3 linked regions of the Medicago truncatula genome follow. The main gene of each other region encodes a partner of the protein of the gene in region 3 in a complex. Links are inferred from orthologs where the notes say so. Each region holds a gene or a part of one and is shown on either strand. Other genes may lie near its edges.

The links.
Region 1: COP9 signalosome complex subunit 4 (region 3) and COP9 signalosome complex subunit 3 share a complex: the UniProt entries of both Arabidopsis thaliana proteins name them as parts of the CSN complex. The link is inferred for Medicago truncatula from reciprocal best matches to the Arabidopsis thaliana genes COP8 and COP13.
Region 2: the proteins of COP9 signalosome complex subunit 4 (region 3) and COP9 signalosome complex subunit 7 are in contact, whole or in part, in a cryo-EM structure (PDB 9IS6), measured with the Arabidopsis thaliana proteins. The link is inferred for Medicago truncatula from reciprocal best matches to the Arabidopsis thaliana genes COP8 and FUS5. Residues at the interface, in NP_199111.1 of Arabidopsis thaliana: Glu269, Arg270, Ile271, Arg273, Ser310, Lys313, Leu314, Tyr315, Thr316, Asn317, Ile318, Arg319, Glu322, Thr325, Leu326, Val357, His359, Gln373, Asp383; in NP_563645.1 of Arabidopsis thaliana: Met1, Lys108, Val124, Arg125, Glu128, Asp129, Ile132, Asn133, Met136, Tyr137, Lys144, Leu145, Asp146, Gln147, Leu148, Pro155.

Annotation. Positions count from the first base shown.
Region 1 is NC_053047.1:8,387,626-8,395,159, forward strand, and holds the start of COP9 signalosome complex subunit 3, read right to left. Parts: upstream 3,012-7,534; 5' UTR 2,893-3,011; coding exon 2,708-2,892; intron 437-2,707; coding exon 318-436; intron 1-317. UniProt on the Arabidopsis thaliana protein: Component of the COP9 signalosome complex (CSN), a complex involved in various cellular and developmental processes such as photomorphogenesis and auxin and jasmonate responses.
Region 2 is NC_053048.1:38,135,482-38,143,099, forward strand, and holds the start of COP9 signalosome complex subunit 7, read left to right. Parts: upstream 1-4,548; 5' UTR 4,549-4,776; coding exon 4,777-4,938; intron 4,939-5,369; coding exon 5,370-5,445; intron 5,446-7,360; coding exon 7,361-7,449; intron 7,450-7,618. UniProt on the Arabidopsis thaliana protein: Component of the COP9 signalosome complex (CSN), a complex involved in various cellular and developmental processes such as photomorphogenesis and auxin and jasmonate responses.
Region 3 is NC_053045.1:13,730,380-13,737,500, reverse strand, and holds the start of COP9 signalosome complex subunit 4, read right to left. Parts: upstream 3,101-7,121; 5' UTR 2,940-3,100; intron 2,763-2,939; 5' UTR 2,761-2,762; coding exon 2,631-2,760; intron 2,253-2,630; coding exon 2,101-2,252; intron 786-2,100; coding exon 682-785; intron 571-681; coding exon 510-570; intron 270-509; coding exon 177-269; intron 72-176; coding exon 1-71. UniProt on the Arabidopsis thaliana protein: Component of the COP9 signalosome complex (CSN), a complex involved in various cellular and developmental processes such as photomorphogenesis and auxin and jasmonate responses.

The sequences.
Region 1 (7,534 bases), on a different chromosome or scaffold from region 3:
TTCACAAATAATCCATCCATATTTCAGCATCTTTCCACATCAAGTTGTTTGTTCTTAAAACTTGTACACCCTCCGGTCACTAATATAAGCAAAAAAACTACATTTTAGGTTCATTCATTTAATGATGTATGTGGTCTATAATAAAGACCATGTACATCATTAAATGAATGAATCTAAAATGTAATTTTTTGCTTATATTAGTGACCGGAGGGTGTATATGTTATGGTAAGATGGTGAAACATTATTCTGTGGGTAAATAGTAAACAAGCTCAATAATGCAATATTGAAATCCCAATATTTCAACACAAAGCAAGTACATTTTTCTGGCGCCAACCGAATCTGCTCCACACTGCAAGCATTGATGAATCTTGCTATGATCGGAACTGCCTCTTCAGCTTGCTGCTGATTTGAAACTGAAGCAGCTGAGAATGCATCTCTGTAACCATAAATGTATGTCTCCAATTAAATAAAAACAGAAAAAATAAATTCACTATTCCATAACAAACAAAACAGGCACGTGAACAAGATTTAAGGAACAGTTCAGATAAACTCGAATGCAAGCACTTCTGAAAAAAAATATATCAACAGTTATAAAAATAAAATAAAAAACTTTTTCTTTCTCCTATCTAAGTTCAAATTTTACCCTGCATCTCAATTTTTCAGAAAGTTCCTTAATTAGCTTCTCTATTCACTCCTATAAAGTTATAGTTGTAGCACTCTTCATAATGAAGGTATGTCCGGTGTCCGACACCAGCACGACACCGATGCATATGGTTACATTGAATCACTTTCTTTTTCTCAAATTATGATCAGTGTCTACGTATCAGTGAAATGTGATTCATAGATTATCAATACTTTATCACAAATAAAAGACTACAGATTATTTCAATTCAGAAACACTTGTATTCTAGTATGTAACTCCTTTAAAGTGAGCAATTTAGAGTCTGAGGTAATTATATCAACCATTGATGAAGAATTCAATTGTTAATTTTACATATTACATGCACATGCAACACAAATTACGAGTGTGTTAAAATAACAAGCGCTCATTTTCTTACTTTACTCTCAACTCACTTAAGATGATCCAAATCTTATATACTAAATGTCTGTTTGATTGACTTATTTAAGTTTACCTATTGACATAACCACTTGTTAGACTGTTTCAAAGAGCTTATGAAAACAACTTATAACATATGCATAAGCTATTTTCAACTTACTCCATAAGCTCTCCAAGACAATTCATGAAAACAGCTTATACCTTATATAAAAGCAATTCGGTTTTATCTTATTTTTTGTAAAAGAAATAGCTAATACATAAGCATTTTTATATGATAACTGTTTAAGCTATAAGCGCATAATTAAGTTGTTTATCCAAATTGGGACTAAATTCAAAGGAAATAATTACCACCTAAGCAAAAAAGTGAATATTTGGTTCTAGAGTCCATCAACTAGGGTTTAACATTTAATCCAACAACAATAATGACATGTATATAAGCTAGCTGTTTTCATCTTATTTCCATAAGCTAAGCTTATGAAAACCACATATACCTTATATGGAAACAATTTATCTTTATTTTATAGAAATAACTCATACATAAGCATTTATATGACAAGTTTTATGTTATAATTGCTTAATTAAGATGTTTATCTAAACAATGCCATTTACTAGAAGCCAATAAAAATTAGGACTAAGGGCCTGTTTGGATAAACAACATATTTGCAGCTTAGCCTTAGCGCTTATCATGATAAGCGCTTAAGCATAAGCTACATAAGCTATTTTTATAGCAAAAGATAAAATAAAGTTGAATTGTTTTTGTATATTCTAAAAGATGTTTTCATAAGCTATATTGGAGGCGTGTCCGGTGTGCAACACATGTTGGTGTCCAACACTAACACATGTGATTAGAATCAATTATGCCATTTACACAAATTATCACCGGTGTTGACGTGTTAGTGTCGTCTGAGGTGTACACGTTAGTGGCTTCATAGCTAGAAGCTAATCTAATTGGGTCTAAATTCTAAACAAATAATAACAACCTGCTGAATATTAAAAAAAAAAACTCTATAGAGTCCAGAAACTAGGGTTTTAACATTAAATCAACAACAACAACAATACCTAAAATCTAAGAATATATAGATATATTAAAAAAGAGATTCTATTCTGCTATTATAAAAAAATGAAGGCAAAGTAAGGATTGCTTACTTACGAAGCACAGACACCGGACTCGATACTAACACTTTGATACCCAAAATAATTTGAGAAAATGACATAATTGAATGTAATCGTATGTTTCAATGTCGTATCAGTATAGTGTGGTGTTATATATGACATTCAGTTGTTTATTCATCCAAACAGGTCATGGCAATATTAGAAGGTAATAGAAATTGAGAACTATGTAGCACCGACATTTCCGATGGAAGGCATGTCTGGTGTCCGACACCACTGACGCATGTAATTATATTCAATTAAGTCACTTTTACAGTCAGTGTCGAATCCATGTCAACGTGTCAGGGTCGTATCCAGTGTGTACTTCATAGATTGGTAATAAATTCAAATAAAAAAATAACATCAAAATAAAAGTGAATATTTGGCTTAAGAGTCCAGGAATGGGGTTTAAACATTCAATCAACAATAACAAAAAAAGAAGCTAAAATCTAGTAATTAAAAAGCGATTATAAGAAAGAATAAGATTATTGTGATACGTACAGAAGATAGAGAAAACCGAGAGAATGAATGGAAGGATCAATGAGTTGAAGAATTGGATAGAGACGAGATGAATCGGAACGGAGAGTTTCATCGGAGTGTTTCAAGATGGTATGAAGACGAGCGATGTCGGCGGAGGAGCTTGATAGACCTTGGATTTGTGCGATCAATGGTTCGAGAGGATCCATGGCGGTGATGATTAGGGTTCTGAGTTCTGAGTCGAGTTGATTCGACGAGTAACGAGTGAGTGGGTTTTGAAGGAGGAAAGATGGGAGGTTTTATATATGTGTTGGTTTATGTGTGCCTGTGTGAAAAGGATTTTTATTTTTGAAGTTATACTGCATTTTTCTAAAAAAATAGCAATATTTTTTGTCAAAACAAAGATAAAAAAATGGCAATTTTTAGACTCCTTTCGTCCCAAAATTATTGAGAAGATATCGTGTGTTCCAAGATAGGGGTTATAATCGTAACTTTTTAAAAGATAAGGAGTCAAAAGATCATATTTCCCCTATGTTAAAGGGTCAAAAGATTATATTTCCTTAAATATGGGTCACTTTTGCAATTTTTTTAATAGTGAGCCAAAATCGCAACATTTTAAAACTTAGGAGGCGAAGAGTGCAATTTAACCTATTCTTTTATTATGTGTGATATATATTTTTTTTTATGAAAGAGTGTGTGATACGTATGAAATTTACCGATTACTAGTAATTTTGGTTCCTGAAATAAAGAACAAGTAATGCATCAAAATTTTTAATAGTTTTTGATCGTATATTTTTGTTAGTCAAAATAATCTTTTAATGTTGATATTAACATTTTTCATATATGATTTATATTTTGTTAAAAAATTCTAATTTTTTTTGGAAAGATTTTTACAATTTCCTACACATTTATGCAAAATGTCATTAAAAAATACAAAAATTAACTTAAAAATAAGGATTAAAAGTTGAAGAAATTTCTTATAGGGATTAAAACGAAAAAAAAATTGAGATATTTATAGGGATCAAAAACATATTTAACCTTCTAAAGAATGTATGTCCTAATGTATATTTTTATTGGGTCATACTAACTTATGCCCTAAGGGCACAAGTTAAGGATTAAAAAAAGACATTAAATGCACAATTTTCAAAATTAAGTTTCGACATTTGGCTTTAAATCTATGTATTATGAGCCAAGATATCATTTTCCTTTTTTAATTAGGATTTTTTTTTTTTGGTTTTCGCACCGGTTTCCAACCCACCAAAGGTGGACGACTAATTCGGCTAATGCGTAGAGGCATGTGCATTGGTCAAATATTGTTCTCCTAGGAATCGAACCCGATATTCCCGGGTACGTTCTTCGAATAAGCTCTTTATCACTAGAGCCCAAGGAACTTAATTTTTTTAATTAGGATCTTATTAATAAGTGAATGCATGTGAATACATTGATCACACATATTTTAATAAAAACTTACTATTATAGGTTTTTTTTTTTGCCACAGATAAAAAATTTACTATTAAAGATTTTTTTTTTCCGCTGAGGTTTAAACCTCACGTATATTATCCTGTGTTGTCTGTGTCAACTCTTAAACTCACGATGACGCTATTAAATGTTCACATTGTTAACATTTATACTGCTCCCTCAAAAAAAAAAACAATTTATACTGGTATAAATCAGGAACGGACCCACCGTATACAGCCAAGTGCCCACCGTGTATACGCTGAGAACCCAGAACACAACACACATCAATTTTATTTCTTCTCTCTCACAACAAGAAACAAACCCCGTCAAGGCCTCTCTCTTCTCCACTCTCAGCATCACCTTCAAACCAACCATCTCTCTCGCAGTTCTCACTCACTCTACGTCAAGGTAATCCAATTGATTCTCTAGTTTCTCATTCCTTCACCAATGTCTTGTTTTAGGGTTTTAGAATTGAGAATTGAGAAACTTTTTAGGGTTTTAGAATTGGAGATTGAGAATCGTTAATAGCTTTTCTGAATGCATGGAAATATGCCATAGCTTTTTTGCTACCGCCAAATGCCATATGTTTTTTTTTTTATTAATAATATAATTTGTTCAAAAAAAAGAATTAAGTTCATTGTTATAGAGTTTGGAAAAATTGCTTGTACATGATAATTGCTTATTGAGCATTGTGACTTCTGTGTACAATTGTGGCTAAATGACCGTCTTATAAGTTATAACTTATATAGAAAAAATGTTCTTTTCACAATTAGCATTGATGTTATTTTAGCTCATTTAGCTCATTTTCAACAAATGGATAGTAGACGATTTTTATTGTAATTGTATTGCATCAAACAATGTTAATTCTTGTTGTTAGTATAATCTGCATCATGAAATTTTAGCCACAACAATGTAGAATGTCTGGGTCCACCCCTGGTATCGATGCGTCTCTGTTATGTGTAATATACAAGTGTCTCTGTTATATTTGCTTTGTGATACTTTGTCTTTTGTTTCAAGCTATGAGCAGAAATTTCATTATAATTGAGAGCTATTGCATTAATTTAGTTTACAATTTTTTTTTGTTTTTAGAATTTAATAATTTTTAAAATTGAGTGTTGTGATTTACAAATTGTTTTTGTGGTGATAATTATAGAAGAAAATTCACATCTCAGACTTTAGAGATTTTCATGATCAATGAGAATGTCAATTCTTATTCGCAAAGCAAAAACTTGTAATATATCTTTGCAACTATGTATTTTTTATTTTACGAAATTTGGATATATAAATAGTGACGAGAGATTTTCAATGCATCTTAGTACTAAGTTATTGAGAGAGATACTTGTGTACAAACGAACATGTTATGGTTTTATAACTAATGAAAAATAACATATAGTCATTAATTATTTTTTTAATAAAAATGTAAAGTTAAGATAATGAAATCGGTTCTCCTTATTTTTCTCTTTACCGTTGAAAAAATATTATTGTTTGCACATCAAGTTATGCTCTGCCTACGAAATTATCGTTCAATCAAACTCTATTGATTCCCAGGGGGGTTGATAGAAGGGTTGTTTGGTAGTCAGCGCATGACTTGATTGCAAACAATGATTTTATCAAAGTGACCAAGAGAAATAAGATTAGAACCGATTTTCATTATATTAATTTTACATTTTTATTAAAAAGTTAATGATTGTCATGTTATTATTCGTTTTGTACGCAAGTATTTCTTGTTTGCATAATTCTCATGTAATCGTCATAAACAAATGCATCTGGTGTTGATGTCACCATCGTAACTGGTGGCATCTCCATTGGAGTTGTCTCATATTTTATTGCCTTGTGGAGCGGCGTCGTCGCCTTTACCATTTGGGACTTACCATGAGACATACATTCCTTCCTTTTCTTTTTACCTTTTCTAATTTAGGGTTAAATAAGTTTTTTGTCCTTATACAATTTTCAAATTTTGCTTTTTATTTCCTCTAAATTTTTTATCAAGTTTTAGTCCTAAATATTTTCCATCATAGGCAAACTATCCTATGAAATTTTGAATTACTTTGTGCAATAGAGGGACAAAAAAAATAGGTTCGTCCGACCTATTTTTTAATCAAAAGCATATTCACGTTGAATTGTCCCCCGATTCTAATTGCATTCATAGTTTTGTTACATTTCATGCTAATTATGCTAGAAACTGACTTCTACCTCCCACTCAATTTTTATGAAGTCTTAAAACATAGGACCCTAGCCACTTTCTGCACATAATTTTTGGTTGTGTGTCCACCTTTTTTCCCTCTTTTTTATACGACATTTTCGGATTATACCTAGTCCAATTTGTAAGTGATATACACTCAAACCCTAGCCTTATTTCATTTCCTCTTCCTCATATACATTGCTGCCGCTTTGCTTCTCATTCTCAATCTGTGTCATGTTCTTCTCCCTTCAATCTCTCTCCCCATGCATGTCAAAATTATATACAAGTTTGTTTAATGTAATTTGTTAAAAAAATAATCAAATATCAGTGACCGCTATTTGTCATACGGCTATCCCGCTATCCAAGATTGACTACAAAGATGAAAATTGAAGAGGTTCAGTCGACAACAAAGAAACAGCGTGTTGCTACTCACACTCACATTAAAGGCCTAGGTCTTGAGGTTCGTTCTCTTCTCTTCCTCAATTTAATAAGTTATTTTCTCCGTTTTGTGTTTGTTGTGTGTGAAGCCATACCCTTTTGCTTATTTCTTGCTATGCTCAAAGGTTTGGTCATTGTTCAGGTGAGTGGAAAAGCATTGCCTTTTGCTTCTGGGTTTGTGGGACAAGCTGAGGCAAGAGAAGCGTGTGGCCTTGTGGTCGACATGATACGCCAGAAGAAGATGGCTGGCAAGGCACTCCTTCTCGCTGGGCCCCCGGGAACCGGAAAGACTGCATTAGCACTTGGGATATGTCAGGAGCTTGGGACCAAGGTTCCATTCTGCCCAATGGTTGGTTCCGAAGTATACTCAACGGGGTTCTTATGGAAAATTTTCGACGTGCTATCGGTCTTCGTATTAAGGAAAATAAGGAAGTATATGAAGGCGAGGTCACCGAGCTCTCTCCTGAAGAAACTGAGAGTATAACTGAAGATTATGGTAAAAGTATCAGCCATGTGATAATTGGATTGAAGACAGTCAAAGGAACCAAGCAACTAAAGTTGGACCCCACCATATATGATGCCTTGATCAAGGAAAAGGTTATTCTTTTCTCTTTTTCAAAGGTCATTTTAAATCTATACAAATATTGGTGTCAAACATTCTACAGCTTTGATACAGGTAGCTGTCAGGGATGTTATATATATTGAGGCAAATAGTGGGGCTGTGAAAAGGGTTGGCCGAAGTGATGCTTTTGCTACTGAGTTTGACCTTGAAG
Region 2 (7,618 bases), on a different chromosome or scaffold from region 3:
CCCTATTGCATAATTTTACTGTTTTAACCCTAATGTTCACACCTAATCTCCTATTTTCATGAACAATCCTAATGCTCTCTCCTAATCTTCTTATATATTAAAGTTAACAAGTAAGCCCTAATTTTAACCTAAACCCTGTTGCATAATTTTACTGTTTTAACCCTAATGTTCACACCTAATCTACTATTTTCATGAACAATATTCTTATATATTAAAGTTAACATGTAATCCCTAATTTAAACCTAAACCCTATTGCATAATTTTACTGTTTTAACCCTAATGTTCACACCTAATCTCCTATTTTCATGAACAATCCTAATGCTCTCTCCTAATCTTCTTATATATTAAAGTTAACAAGTAAGCCCTAATTTTAACCTAAACCCTATTGCATAATTTTACTGTTTTAACCCTAATGTTCACACCTAATCTCCTATTTTCATGAACAATCCTAATGCTCTCTCCTAATCTTCTTATATATTAAAGTTAACAAGTAAGCCCTAATTTTAACCTAAACCCTATTGCATAATTTTACTGTTTTAACCCTAATGTTCACACCTAATCTCCTATTTTCATGAACAATCCTAATGCTCTCTCCTAATCTTCTTATATATTAAAGTTAACATGTAAGCCCTAATTTTAACCTAAACCCTATTGCATAATTTTACTGTTTTAACCCTAATGTTCACACCTAATCTCCTATTTTCATGAACAATCCTAATGCTCTCTCCTAATCTTCTTATATATTAAAGTTAACAAGTAAGCCCTAATTTTAACCTAAACCCTATTGCATAATTTTACTGTTTTAACCCTAATGTTCACACCTAATCTCCTATTTTCATGAACAATCCTATTGCTCTCACCTAATCTTCGTATATATTAAAGGTAACCCGTAAGCCCTAATTTTAACCTAAATCCTATTGCATAATTTTACCGTTTTAACCCTAATGCTCTCACCTAATCTTATATTTTCATGAACAACCTAATGCTCACACCTAATCTCATATTTTCATGAGCCCCAATTTTAACCTAAACCCTGTTGCATAATTTTACCGTTTTAACCCTAATGCTCACACCTAATCTTATATTTTCATGAACAACCCTAATGCTACCTAATCTCATATTTTCATGAGCCCTAATTTTAACCTAAACCCTGTTGCATAATTTTACCGTTTTAACCCTAATGCTCACACCTAATCTTCTATTTTCATGAACAATGCTAATGCTCACACCTAATCTCCTATTATCATGAACAAAGCAAATCGGCATCGCTTTATTTCCCCTATTTCTTCAAAACAAATCGCCCTATTTCTTCAACAAAACAAATCGCCCTATTGGAATAAAAGGGTTTTGAAAGATTATAGCAACATTTTTTTTTGTTAATATTACACTTTTTATCCAAATTAGAACTGAACTCTCTTTGTTAAATATTTAACACAAAATGCACCTGAATTTCGCAATCTATATAAACAGGTGGAAGAAACATTTCAACAAACAGTTAAAGGGTATCATTTACGGTAAAAGCCAAATATTCGATAAAAGGAAAATTATTTAAATAAAACATTTTACATGTTGAGGTTAAGAATGAACTATTTTTAGGTACATAATATAACATTAACATATAATTTTTACAAAAGAATGAAGTAACATTTTTTCAAAAAAAAAAAAAGAAAAATATGAAGTAACATACCAATAATATAATATTGACATATAATTTTAACAAAAGAATGAAGTAATACACGATTGATAAAAATTAATATTTTTTTGGTGAATAAGCGTGGTGTCTGAGGTTCGAATTTCAACATCTGCATATATTTGGGACCACATATTTCATTCTCTTTGATATGCATTGAGATTTGTTTTTGTCTATTATATCTACAATGTATATGACCCGTGCGGCAGCACGGGTGGAAAGTCTAGTTTATCTTGAAATATGAAAAGTCAAATTTAATACACATACAAACAAAGGACAATTTAGTAATATTAACACACAAAATAGACACATTAATTGCCCTAACAATTTTTCTTAAGAAATGTGAAAAATGCAAAAAGTGCTTAGATATAGGGATGGAGGGAGTATGTTGATAGCATTTTTCAGCGTCAAAATATGTCAGCGTTGATTTGCACAATTTTTTTTTTTCGACAATAAAGTTTTCATAACTTAAAATTCAGCTAACCAATCCAAAAAGCCCAAACTAATATTTTCAAAAACTAGCCCAACCCAATTTCAAAATTAAAGAAACAATTTGGTTTACTGTTTCTCAAAAGTGATGTTGTATTGTACCCGTTTCACAATCCATTATTTTTCTACTCATTGTGATTTCACAAACCTTTGTATATGTGTTTGTCAAATATGCAATTTCTTCACAAATATCAATTTCTTCTTCAATTAAATTAATCAAAACATGATTCATCTCGCAAATCCAATTCAATCAAAATGTGATTCCTCTTTCAAACCCACTTTAGCATCTTCTTTCTTCACACTTTCAATACATGTTGTACCGTACAACTCTTCTCTTTCGTTTTTGTTGTTGTTTATGCATTGTGGATTTACAGACATATATATACATATATACATATATACATACATACATATATATATACACACACACACACACACACACAAACAATTTTATGTGTCGTTGTATTATATGTATCACGAAAAAAGAAGTAACATTTTACCATCCATCTATTTGCTGCGAAATATTTAGGTCAAGTAAAGTATTGCCTATTGTGATCAACTTAAACTTGGATGGAAGTTTGGGAAGTTGTCCCATTATTTATATTTATTTAAATAATTAAGAACCCAGAGTTAAGACAAGGTTGTAAAATTGTGTGGCATCGAACCCTTCAAGTTATTGTTAGCAAGAGTTAAATTAACTAAACTTCTTAACTTGGAACTCACGAGGGAGATAGTTCAATCGCAAATTCCCAAGATTAACACACAATATTTTCTCTCCCACCCCTAATCATTATCTTGCAAGAACAAACATTATTCGAAAAATCCAAGTCCTACATCGGATAGATAAGACTATTGAGAAGAGTTTATAAAGAGGAGGCAATCCTCACCTTACAAGCCGGTTTTGTAAGGATGAGTTAGACCCCGAATTTCAACATGATATTAGAGCTTGTCGAATTCAAGGGCCACCTACCTGTTCACACACCAAGCCCAAAGAGTGATGGACGTGAGAGTGGCGTGTTGGGAAAAACACAAGTCCCGCATAAGATAGATAAGACTCTTGATAAGACAAACATACTTAACAACTTAAAAGTTTAATTTTTAATTGGCCTTAACACCCTTGTGAAACACGTGTATTAGTTGTCAAAGAAAATTGTTGTTCAAAGAGATATTATTTAAGAAAGTGAGAGCGAACAATGAATGTGGAATCAAACTAAATAACATATTTGAATAAAACTACAATATCAAACAAATAAGTACAATTGAACGGATATGAAATTTGATTCGTGAGACAGATGTTGTTTGTTAACCCACTCCTGAGACAAGAACTTCATAAATTATATAACATCATGTGTACTTGTAAACCGCTTATCTCCTTATTAGTTATTGAGTTGTAAATACGTTACTTTATAATTCTCAAGAGACAAGGGAAATGTTCCACTCAAGTTGTTGTGAAAAAGAACAACCGTGTGCAGACACAAAATCGTTCGAACATTTTTTATGTTAATGAACATATGAGATTTGTAGCTTCGAAATCAAGGGCATGCAACAACGAGGAGTCTTGTAATTCCGTAGAAAATATTCATGGTAAGATATTCACGTATTGCAAGATTAAGGGTTCTCAAATCAAACACGACATCAAAGCAACCCTTTGAGACTGAGGTGAAGTTATTGTGACCAAAGTTCACAATTTGGTGCCAAAATTGATATTGATTTTAATCTTTATAAAGATGAAAACGCAATCATTCGCTCTGATAATTATCACAGGTTATATAACTTCGACAAAACATAAGCTATAAATGTAGCTTCGTCAACAAAGATGTATCAGTTCGAAAAACAATCCGCAATAAATTATCAAGTACATGCAAAACAATTAATATCACACTTTTAAATTAGTATTGTAACAATATTTTAGTACCAAATTGAACTTTAAAATTATCTCTTTGCAATTTTTATTTTCATTTTAAGTATCGTAATATTATATAACAATTACCTCCGCATCGTTGCATGTAACCAAAAATTAATTATATCAAAATCAATTTTATCAAAGTCAATTATGTCAAAATCAATTATGATCACATTAGAAACAAACACACACCCTTCTCTGAAAGAAAACTAATCATCGAGTCCAGAGTTTCTACCAAAATTTTCATTGTTTCGACGATATTAAATATTCTTTTTTTAGTTTCTTATACGTTCCCTCCATAAAATTAACCCTACTTTCAACCGGTCCTCGACTCCTCGTGAATACTCTTCTCGGTTGATATTATTTCTCTCATGATAAATTCCAACTCCTTTCGTATAGACTCAATGTGACACGGTCAACTAAGTTAGTCATTTTGAGACGGAGGAAGTAGTATATAAACGGGTCTTTCACATCACTACGAGAGTGCTTTCACCATCACTCAACACAAACCTCTCCTCTCACCGCTCAAAATCTCTTTCAACGTGTTCTTAAATTCCTCCACCGAAACCCAAAATCTCTTTCAATGCGTTCTTAAATTCCTCCACCGAAACCCTAAACCTAAAACCCTTTCAATTTCCCCCTAATCGAATCGATCTTCCCATCGAAAACCCTAATTCCTTGATCATTCTCGACCATGGACATTGAACAGAGACAATCGGAACTCATCGATCAATTCGTCAAGCAGGCCTCTGCTGCTTCCAACACTTCCGCTATCTCTTCCGTCATTGTCGATGCTACTTCTCACCCTTTGCTCTTCGCTTTCTCTGAGATTCTCGCTCTCCCCAATGTTCTTCAGGTTCCCCCTTTTTTCTGATTTTTTGTTGTTGTGATTTTTCGATTGTTTTGTTCATCTATGTGAGTGTTAGTTGATTGCAAAACGAGATGTAAATTTTTTTTTTCCTTTCGTTTTTCTTTTTTTTTTTAATCATAAATTGTTCCATGTTGTTTGCGTTCATTGTGATTATTGTGAATGAGTTAGTGTTTTTAGGTGGATTATTTTGCTAAGTTGTTTATGTTTCGAAATAAATTATGGGGTGATAAGAACTCATGAAGTACAGACACGAACACTGACACGTCTGAAAGATACCTTGACATCAATAAAATTTTGAGAAAATGACATAATTCAACAATCCCCTATGTTGTTGTCCCAGTATTGAAAAATTGCTAATAAATATGCGATTAGTTTCGATATGTCTGCCATAACTTTTTTGAATCTGGTTTTTGCAGCTTGAAGCAACTGATGAAAAATTCTACCTTGATCTGCTTCGCCTGTTTGCACATGGAATATGGAGTGACTACAAGAGTAAGTAGATTGATTGATCTTTCTGTTTATCTTAATCTCCTTGCATTTTTGTCTGGTGGGTGTTCTGTGGTCTTTGTTGAATTTTTTCCTTTTCCGGTAGTTTGCTGTTACTTTAAACAAATGTTGTAGGAATTGTCCTTTAGTGTACCATGTAGGGGTGGGAATAGGCCAGGCCAGGCCAGGCTTTGATAGGCCTGAACCTGGCCTACGAAAAAATTTACAAGCCTAAGCCTAGCCTGTGGCCTATTATAAGCCGTTTTTCTTGGCCTGGCCTGACCTATTTAAAAGCCTGGACTGGCCTGAAAGCCTATTTACAGGCCTACTTCATATTAAGGTCATCAAATAGTTCATTTGGCCTACTAAATAAACTAAACATGCCTTAAAGCCTACTTAAAAGCCTATTTAACAACAAGTAAATTTTAACTGGATTAAAGCCTACTTAAAAGCCTATAACAACAAAGCCTATTTAGGGACTAATAGATAGAGAAAAAGATGTTTATATTTTTAATGTATGCAATTATTTTAATATAAAAAATAATTTTTAATAAATACGTATTAATAGGCCGGCCTATTAGACTTAACAGGCTTTTCTGGAAGTCTAAGCCTGACCTATTTAACTAAACAGGCTTTTTAAAAAGCCTAAGCCTAGCCTATCTACTAAACAGGCCAGGCTAGGCCAGGCCGTAGGCCCCTGTAGGCCAACCTGGCCTATTCCCAACCCTAGTACCATGACAATGGTTGGTGATTTGTGATTTTTGAGTTTATTCTTAATTTGATTCCCGGATATTTATGTCACGAGATAGTAAGTTGTTACTTTTGTAAAGATTGCCATAACAGATGATGTATAATTAACAAGTAATTAGTTATTTCGTAAAAAAGTTTGGTTCTGTACACGTGGACTTTATGTCATGAGATAGTAAGTTGTTACTTTGTAATGATTGCAAAAAGTTATGGTTACTATGTCGGACATACTGTACATGTGGACTTCTATATGCATGCTCAATGTATGTAAGATCGGGAATCACTACATAGGATCGTGTGATCTTGCGTTTCAATGTGAGTGGGACCGGGGAAATGCCGTAAGACCGTTGCAAAATTTCCCCCAATATGGGCCGGGTTTTAGCAAAACCCCATCTTCTTTAATTGTAATGGATCCGGGTCAGTTTTTGGTAAAACTCAGGTTTTCAATGGTGAAAAAAGGGAGAAATAGAAACGTTTTCTTTTTCTTGCTCGCGCAAGTCCTCTGTTGTGAGGGATAACATCAAAACCTCTTCCTTCTCCCATTCTCTCGCCTTCCGCCACCTCTGAAAACCTCTTCCCTTCATTCCCTTGTTTTTGTGAATTGGGTGTGGTTCCTCTATTTCTTGCTGAGTTGGGTGTGGTTCCTCTGTTTGTTGTCACCTGTTCCCTTGTGTTAATGATTTCATTTTGTTAGGAGCCAATTTTAAACTTAGTTATTTATTAAGTTATGAACTTATGGTTACAAGTCTGTGGAAGGACGGGCATCTTTTCTTAATTTAATATAATTTTTAATTTTATGTACGTGTGTGTGTATCTTTTTCCCCTATTAGTAGGATCTTATGATCCGTTCTACGTTCTTTCAACCCCCTCTCGATCTTGTTCAAACTCTCAATTTTGAAAACACTGTGCATGCCAGCATAGGAGCATATTTTACATTTTGGGATTGCTTAATAATGCGTCGGACTATTTTGAACCTCGCCACACGTGTCTTGAGATGAAAGAATTCACTCCACTTTATTTTCTGCTTTGTAAATACCAGCAGTGAGATTTGTATATTAATCTTCATTCATGATTTTCTATTTTTTCGTTGCGTCTGTTTTTTAAATCTTTTATCATTTACGTGTAAATGGAAATAATATAATGGCGTTCATTAAAACGTTCGAGTGACTTATAGGTAATGCTGATCGCCTTCCACAATTGGTACCTGATCAGATCCTCAAGCTTAAGCAACTTACAGTTCTGACACTCGCTGAGACCTACAAGGTATTTCCTATCAGTCCAAAGTTATAGGAACATATTTAAGGGTTGTTTAAGGGTTTGGTTTTCTGTTATTTGGAACATTTTTTCTCCTCCCTAGTTTTCTATCATCAAATGTCTTTTTTTTTTTCTTCTTCTTTCCATCAAAGGTGGATAAGAAAACCAAATCTTCCCT
Region 3 (7,121 bases):
GATATGTCATAATATCGCAAGGCAGCTTCCAAGAACTTCCTCTTCAGATCTAAGATCCTAGCATAGCAAACCTGAAAGAAAAAAAAAAAAATAGAATACAAGGATAAACAGGCAAGATAAGGTTCATTTATGCATATTTAACTTCAGTCACCCTTCAGAAGCTGTCATTTTCAAACCTTGTACTTCAAATTCAATACTTCATGCTGGCTATTGCTAACCAAGAATGATGCTTTATTAATGAAAGCTTCAGCATTTACAGCATCGTCATCCTGGCAAATACGAAAAATATTATTTCAAATAACCTTTATGATTCTGAAATTAAAACCAATAATTTTGTACGTGACATGTGAAAAGTTACCATTTCAGATATAAAATTATATTCATATTAAAGATGTGGAACCAGTATACGTGATTCAATTTAGACATTGTGGCAAGTTATATCTCCCAATATGGTCTAAGAACCGACATCAATCAAATATGGATTTCCTTGCACAAAATAAAGTAAATACCTCAAGGTATAAACAAGCAATTTGAACACACTTTGATAACCTGAATGTATCATCAATTACCCTGATAAAAAAAATCAAAATAAAATTAATAATAAGAAAGAGACATTTTCAAATTTTGGCAGATTTATAATAATTTAGGCAAACAGGTAAATATGGTTGGAAACTCTGAGACCTCATTCCTGAATCTAGGTCAATACCACTGAGCATCTGGGCAGCTTTTGACCATTGCTCCTCAGATTCATAAAGCTCAGCCAATTTCTCTCTAATAACCAAAACCTTATAACAAAACAACAAGTGACAATCAGCATGGAAAAATGCATACTTAGACAAGAATTCCATTATTGATTTAAACGAAGATACATAATGTGATGAGAGATCTGAATACTTTTTCAATCAACATCTCTACGCATAGAAAACCCTAATGCTTGACATAGTAACAAAAATACTTTTTAGATGAAGTCTCGGAATACAACAAAATTTGCAATTGTATTTTCTTTCACACTTCCACCTTTCCACAATTTATACCGTCCTATCAAATACCATGATAATAGTGTCGGAAATACTATGTATTCAATGGCGGATTGCAGCCGACACCAACAACGCTACCGTTATATGGTGGGTAAAGGTATAACACTGACGTCAAAGCTTAGACTTTAGAGATGCAGTACAAGAAATTTATAACACAGTATCATACACATATAAAAGCTCATAAATAGTACACGCAAAATTAAATGTATATTCATAAGTCATAACTAATAATCAAAGTTTATCGTTACCAATATTCAAATCCAAAAGAGAATAACTTTTCGGGTGAAATGACCAAAAATTCTAAAAAATAAAACTGAACAGACAGCAATAAGTTAAGGTGATATTCGGGTTTTCACGTGAGCTTAATTGTAGTAGCGGACGCTACAGCCACTACTCAAATGCAATGCAACAGAGTTTCACATGTCGCCTGAGAGCTGATGTGCAACACTGCTATAGAGGCAGCTATCGACTAAAAAGCCAGCATATTATTTGTATAGGAGAATTTAATCCCCCAAATAAGTAATAAATACCTATGAAGTTAAAATAATTGCTCAATTAACTATTATCAAACTGAGATGTAAGAAAGCACACGCGCTTCAAAATTGCATCCATGTGCATGCTAACCAATAACCCAAATCAGAGCCGGACATGCATTCTTTTAACAAACTTCTGACACTTAGAACAGTTAGTGGCTTTTACAATTTTGTCACTTCCATTTTAACTACAAAATAAATGGGAACGGTTTATCACGTTCACAAAATTTCATGCTTTCTTAAGATGTAAGTTTTAATATTATATCTAATTTATTTGTCGTATTATAGTTATGGCTGTGTCATACCGCATGGCCCATAGTTTTCAAATTCTGCTATATCCCTATGTCTATATCATATGATATCTACGCCTAATGTTGAATTGTGTTTCATCTTAGTTTTTTTTTTTCTCTCTCGTTGTTATATATTTCCTACCATGGTTAAGAAAGCAGCATTCAAGTTAACTTCTCCTATTTACCAAAACAAAACATTACAATCATTTAGCCGCAAAACAGAATAGACAAAATTTAAACCTGTTCTTCAAACGACACAACTCGAGGCTGAATCTGAGCAAGTATGTAATGAGCAATCTCTTTCTGTGTCTCAGGTGCCAACCTTCCCAACTCTTCAGCAAAACTCTGTAGAAGCTGACGCGACACTACTAAAGGAACATCATCCGATAACACTGAAACACAAAATTCAAACTTTCAACAACCTCATATATTAATATAAAAAAAAAACCTAAGGAAAATAGGTTTAAATATGATTAGTCTTTTCCGAATAAAGTCACGCCATAACCGGTAATCATGCCACGTGGCCAATAAGTTGATGTCAGGTTTAGTCCTTGCAAATTCAAAATTTGTTGTTCTTAGTCTATGACGTCAAACATGACGCAATAAAGTCACGGTATGTGACCCAATAAGACGTCAGGGACCAAAACCAAAAAAACATTACAATTGCAAGGACTAAAATTATATTTAAAACCTACTAAAAGACTAAAAAAATATTAAAATTAAAAAATAAATGAAAAAACCCTAGGTTGAGGAAAAAGAGAATTATTAACTGTGATCGATGAATTTCCTAGCATGAAGAATGTCATTTGATGAAATGACAGCAGAGAGAATTTGTTTATACTGCTCTATCTTCTGTCTTTGGTCTGTAATCGCTGAAGCGCTTGCAAAAGCACCCTCCATCACTGTTTCACATCAACATTCAACAAAAAAACGCAACAAAATCGGTTAATAAACCCTAAATTTCAAAAATAAGCAACGAAAATTACAATTTCTTCAAAATTTCCACAAAATTCATAAGAACTAAGCACTAAAGAGAAGAAAAATCAACGAATAGAGTGAAATTTGACGGAGAAGTTTACCTAACGGAGTTGAAGGGTTTTGGAGTGTTTTCGTTTGCGTTGGTGGAGATTGTGATTTCTCACTCCTCCGTTGCGTGAAATAGAATCGCTTCTACTATAGAAATTAGAATTCGAATGAACCCTCTTCTTATTTTTCACCACCACCGTGTTTTTGCCAATGTTTCTCGATACTTGATTTTTTATTGGGTTTGGTTTGTCGAATAAATTAAGCCCAAAGTTTTGAAGCATGTGCTATTATGGCCTCTCAAATTTCTTGTTTTGTCTCCGATCTTACTTATCACTTCATTACTTGAAAATAATTTTTTTTAGCATGACAAAAGAAAAAGTAGAAAAGAAAAAACCATAAAAATCGGGCTCAGCATGGGGCATCAAGCCTCAACTCAACACTGACTTCAACTCTGATGCGGGGTCTGCCAAAAAGTCACACCTGATCTTAAAGAGCGTCCAAGCATGACCAAGAAATATGCGCAATGGTTGCCCTCTCGAAGTAAATTGTTGGAAATAAATGTTAGAAATATACTTGATGAATACGGTTTGGTGCACTTGCTATATTTAGTCATCATATATCATGTTATAATATGTTGGTTTAATAGCACTTTTAGTCCTCGCATTTTGACCAACTCGCGAAACTGGTCCTGCCTTTTCAAATCGAGCAAAGCAGTTTCTATATTATCACATTTTTTGTAATTTTAGTCCTAACCCCCAAATTAGCCTTCAAAAACGCTGATGTGTCATGTTTTTAATGATGTGGCCAAAAAAGCACTTAGGTGGCATTTCTACACTTAGGTGGCATTTCTACCATGGAAAATGACATTAACATATCATCAAATCAAATTTTATTAATTAGAAAATAATTAAAATATTTCATAAATTAAAACAAAAACAAAACCAATAACCCAAAAATATTCATCTTCTTCCTTTAGTTTTTTTTTTTTAAGATTCTTCATTGTTTTTATCTTCAACCTATATAATAAAACTCATACCCAAAAAAACATCAAATACCACATATTTCTTATGCATCCTCAGATTCGTTCATCTCCAGGTTCGCTTATCTCTCTTATGCTTCCACCCAAATACCAAAACTCCATCTTCAGATCCGCTTGTAACAGCCCGATTTTTCGCTAGATTTATTTTTAATTAATTATTATGTGATTATTTGTGCTTGTGTGTATTTAATTGGCATTGGGTGCATTTTCATGGATTAACGTATTAGAAGGGTATCTTGGCCATTTTGCGGGTAAGGGTAAAATGGTCATTTTGGTGAGAATTATTTTTAATGTTTAGTGAGAACCATTATTTTACTAAGTTACTAGTGTAGTGATTAGTTTTTACCGTTTAGTGACCGTTGGTTATATTTTACCGTTGTTAGTAATTATCGTTGAGTGTATAGAAACTTTTTAGAATTATGTTAGAATGGGTTAAGCCCATTAGGGTCTAGATTTGAGCCCAATTGAGATAGAGCATACCTAGACCTAAAACTTGGAGAGAAATTCATTCATTCATTTCATTTCACAAAGTTAGAGAGAGAAAGTGGGAGAAAGGAAGAACAAGGGTTAGAGAAAGGGGGAAACTTGAAGATTGAAGAATTAGGAGCTAAAATGAAGCCCAAGTTTGGATTAATCATTACCTAAGGTAAGGGGGTTAGTCTTCATCATAATCATGATTGTTTTGTTTGCAATTTTCTTGGTTTGTATGAAAAAGTGCTTAATTGAGTGAGAATTTATATGAACCCAATCTTTGAATTTCGTGCTCTTGTTTTGGTGATAAGTTTGAGTATGTTAATTGATTGATAAATGAATTGTTGGTGATGAAATAACATGTTCATAATGTATGAAAATGGGTAGTTGTGAAATTATGCTTAATTGATGAATTATGACATGTTGTTGTGGAATTGAGGTGAGAATCAAGTTTTAATTGATGTTGTTGTTGCTGAGACATGTTGTTGTTTATGATTATGGCTTGGGTGTTCATATATCATGATTGTTGGTAAGAAATAAGATGTTGTTGGTTGTTTTGCAAAAATGGGTCAAATGGTGATTTTGTTTAAAATGATGTTTGATTCAAGTAGTTATATGTAATTGAGTGTCTTTTCATGTTGAGAAACGTTTGGATACACTTTGGAATCGAATTTGGGTAATGGGAAGTCGAAAATTGGGATTTTAGGGTGAAAATGAATTTTTCCCGTAAAACTGAATTTTTCTGAACTGTGCACTTCCGCCAGGCGAGCTAGTGGCGAGCAGCTACTGCCTTCACTCGCCATGGCGAGCAATCTTTCCGCCAGGCGAAATTGCCCAGTTCCAGCATCCCATGTTTTCGCGTTTTGCGTCGTTTTCACTCGTTTCCGTTTTGTTTTGGCTTTTGACTTTAACATGAAAGTTTTAGACAATTGAGTTGGCATTCCATAGGCCTTGGTTTGACTTGAAAATAATGTGTTGTTTTTGAGTTATGAAGAAAATACTCTAAGGAGGTTTTGATAAAACTTTACGAAAATTCCGCACAATTGTTTCTAAGTCAACCCAAACCTTATGGATGGCTTCCAAACTTCAAAGTATGTTTATTATAAGTTCAATTAAGGGTTTTAGAGTATTTGAAACTTGGTTTGTGAAATTGGGACTTAATTTGGAAAATTACTTAGAATGCCGATTTTTCCGGAATGTGATTTTTCTTAAGAAATGGAATGAGATTAATGTTGTTTAATGATTATTGAATTTCCGGGAATGGATGAGATTAGTTCCTTTGAACTTTACTTGGTTATACTTTGAAAATGGAGATGTATGGATGAATTATGATATGTTAGATATGATAATAACATGAGGTGTTGTATGTTCTGTTACTTGATATATGAGAAATATTGTAATGATGAGATGATATGGTATTGATTATGTATTGGTGATGAATTATTGGTGTGATTGCATAAATGCAAATAAATATTGGTGATGATTTGGTGAGTTGTTGTGTGGACATATGCATTATTATCGAGTCATATGTTCATGCATGCATATTTGGTGATGACGGATATGTTTATATATATATATATATATATCCAATTGGTGATGATTTTGGTGATGATGGACGACGACCTAAAATATTGGTGATGACCGATACCGCATGTATATAGGTGTTGTGTCTATGATCATATCATGAGGTGACATGAGTCCTAGTTGTGAATTACTTGATGTACTTGTGGTTGTACGTGATTGATGGTGATGTTCGTATTTAATGGATTGTTATGTCATGTTATGATTAATCATGTGAATTGATGAACTCATGGAATTGGTGGAATTGTGAATGATGATTATTGATGATGATGTGTTCGTTGAATATATGTCGGTGAAACTTGGATTGCGGTGATAATGTATGTATGGAATTTATCTATTTTGATTCATTACATGATATTGGATTATGTTATTCCTGCTTATCTGTATTATTGATTATGTTGATGTAATACTCACCCCAGTGGTTTTAACCGCCTACTTGTCTGTATGGGTGAGTAGACGTTGTGCAGGACTAGTAGCTTGGTGAGTTCCTGATATTGGTGGATAGTGGGAGCTTTCTCCGCTATCAGGTCTTAGAGTAGAGTTGACTCTGATATAGGGTTTTGTTGTTAGCTCTAGATCTTTTTGGATTATTTTTATATTTTGAGATTTTGTCCATGTGTCGGACTTGGAGATTTCATGCTTATGCATTTTTGAGATCATGTGACATGTATGCTTGATGTATATGATTTTGTATCCGCTGCGACTGATGAGGTTTTATATACATGCATGTCAACCGTTGATTCGATTTTGTTTTTCTTTGATTTGGTGAAGTAGCATCCATTTCTTGAATATATGAATTATTCGCATGTTTAATTGCTTTAATAGAATTAGGGTGTTACACCGCTCAAATTAAAATTCAAATCTAAAAAATTGAATTTCATATTGTAGTTTATCTCATCCCTCTAATCAACGTATGTTACCTCTTATGCATCCTTAAGAAACCCAAATAACCCCACCTTATCCAGGTTTTTTTTTTTACAAGCTTTTGTTTTTGCTTAAATCTCACATATTTCCAATCAACTGGTAGTGTACAATTTTAGAGCGTTGCATACAAAAACAATGGGAAAAGATGGAATTAGGTAGCCAAAGTACAGATATGCACTTCCCGTTGATAAAATTAATGACCTGTTCGACAACCAGATCA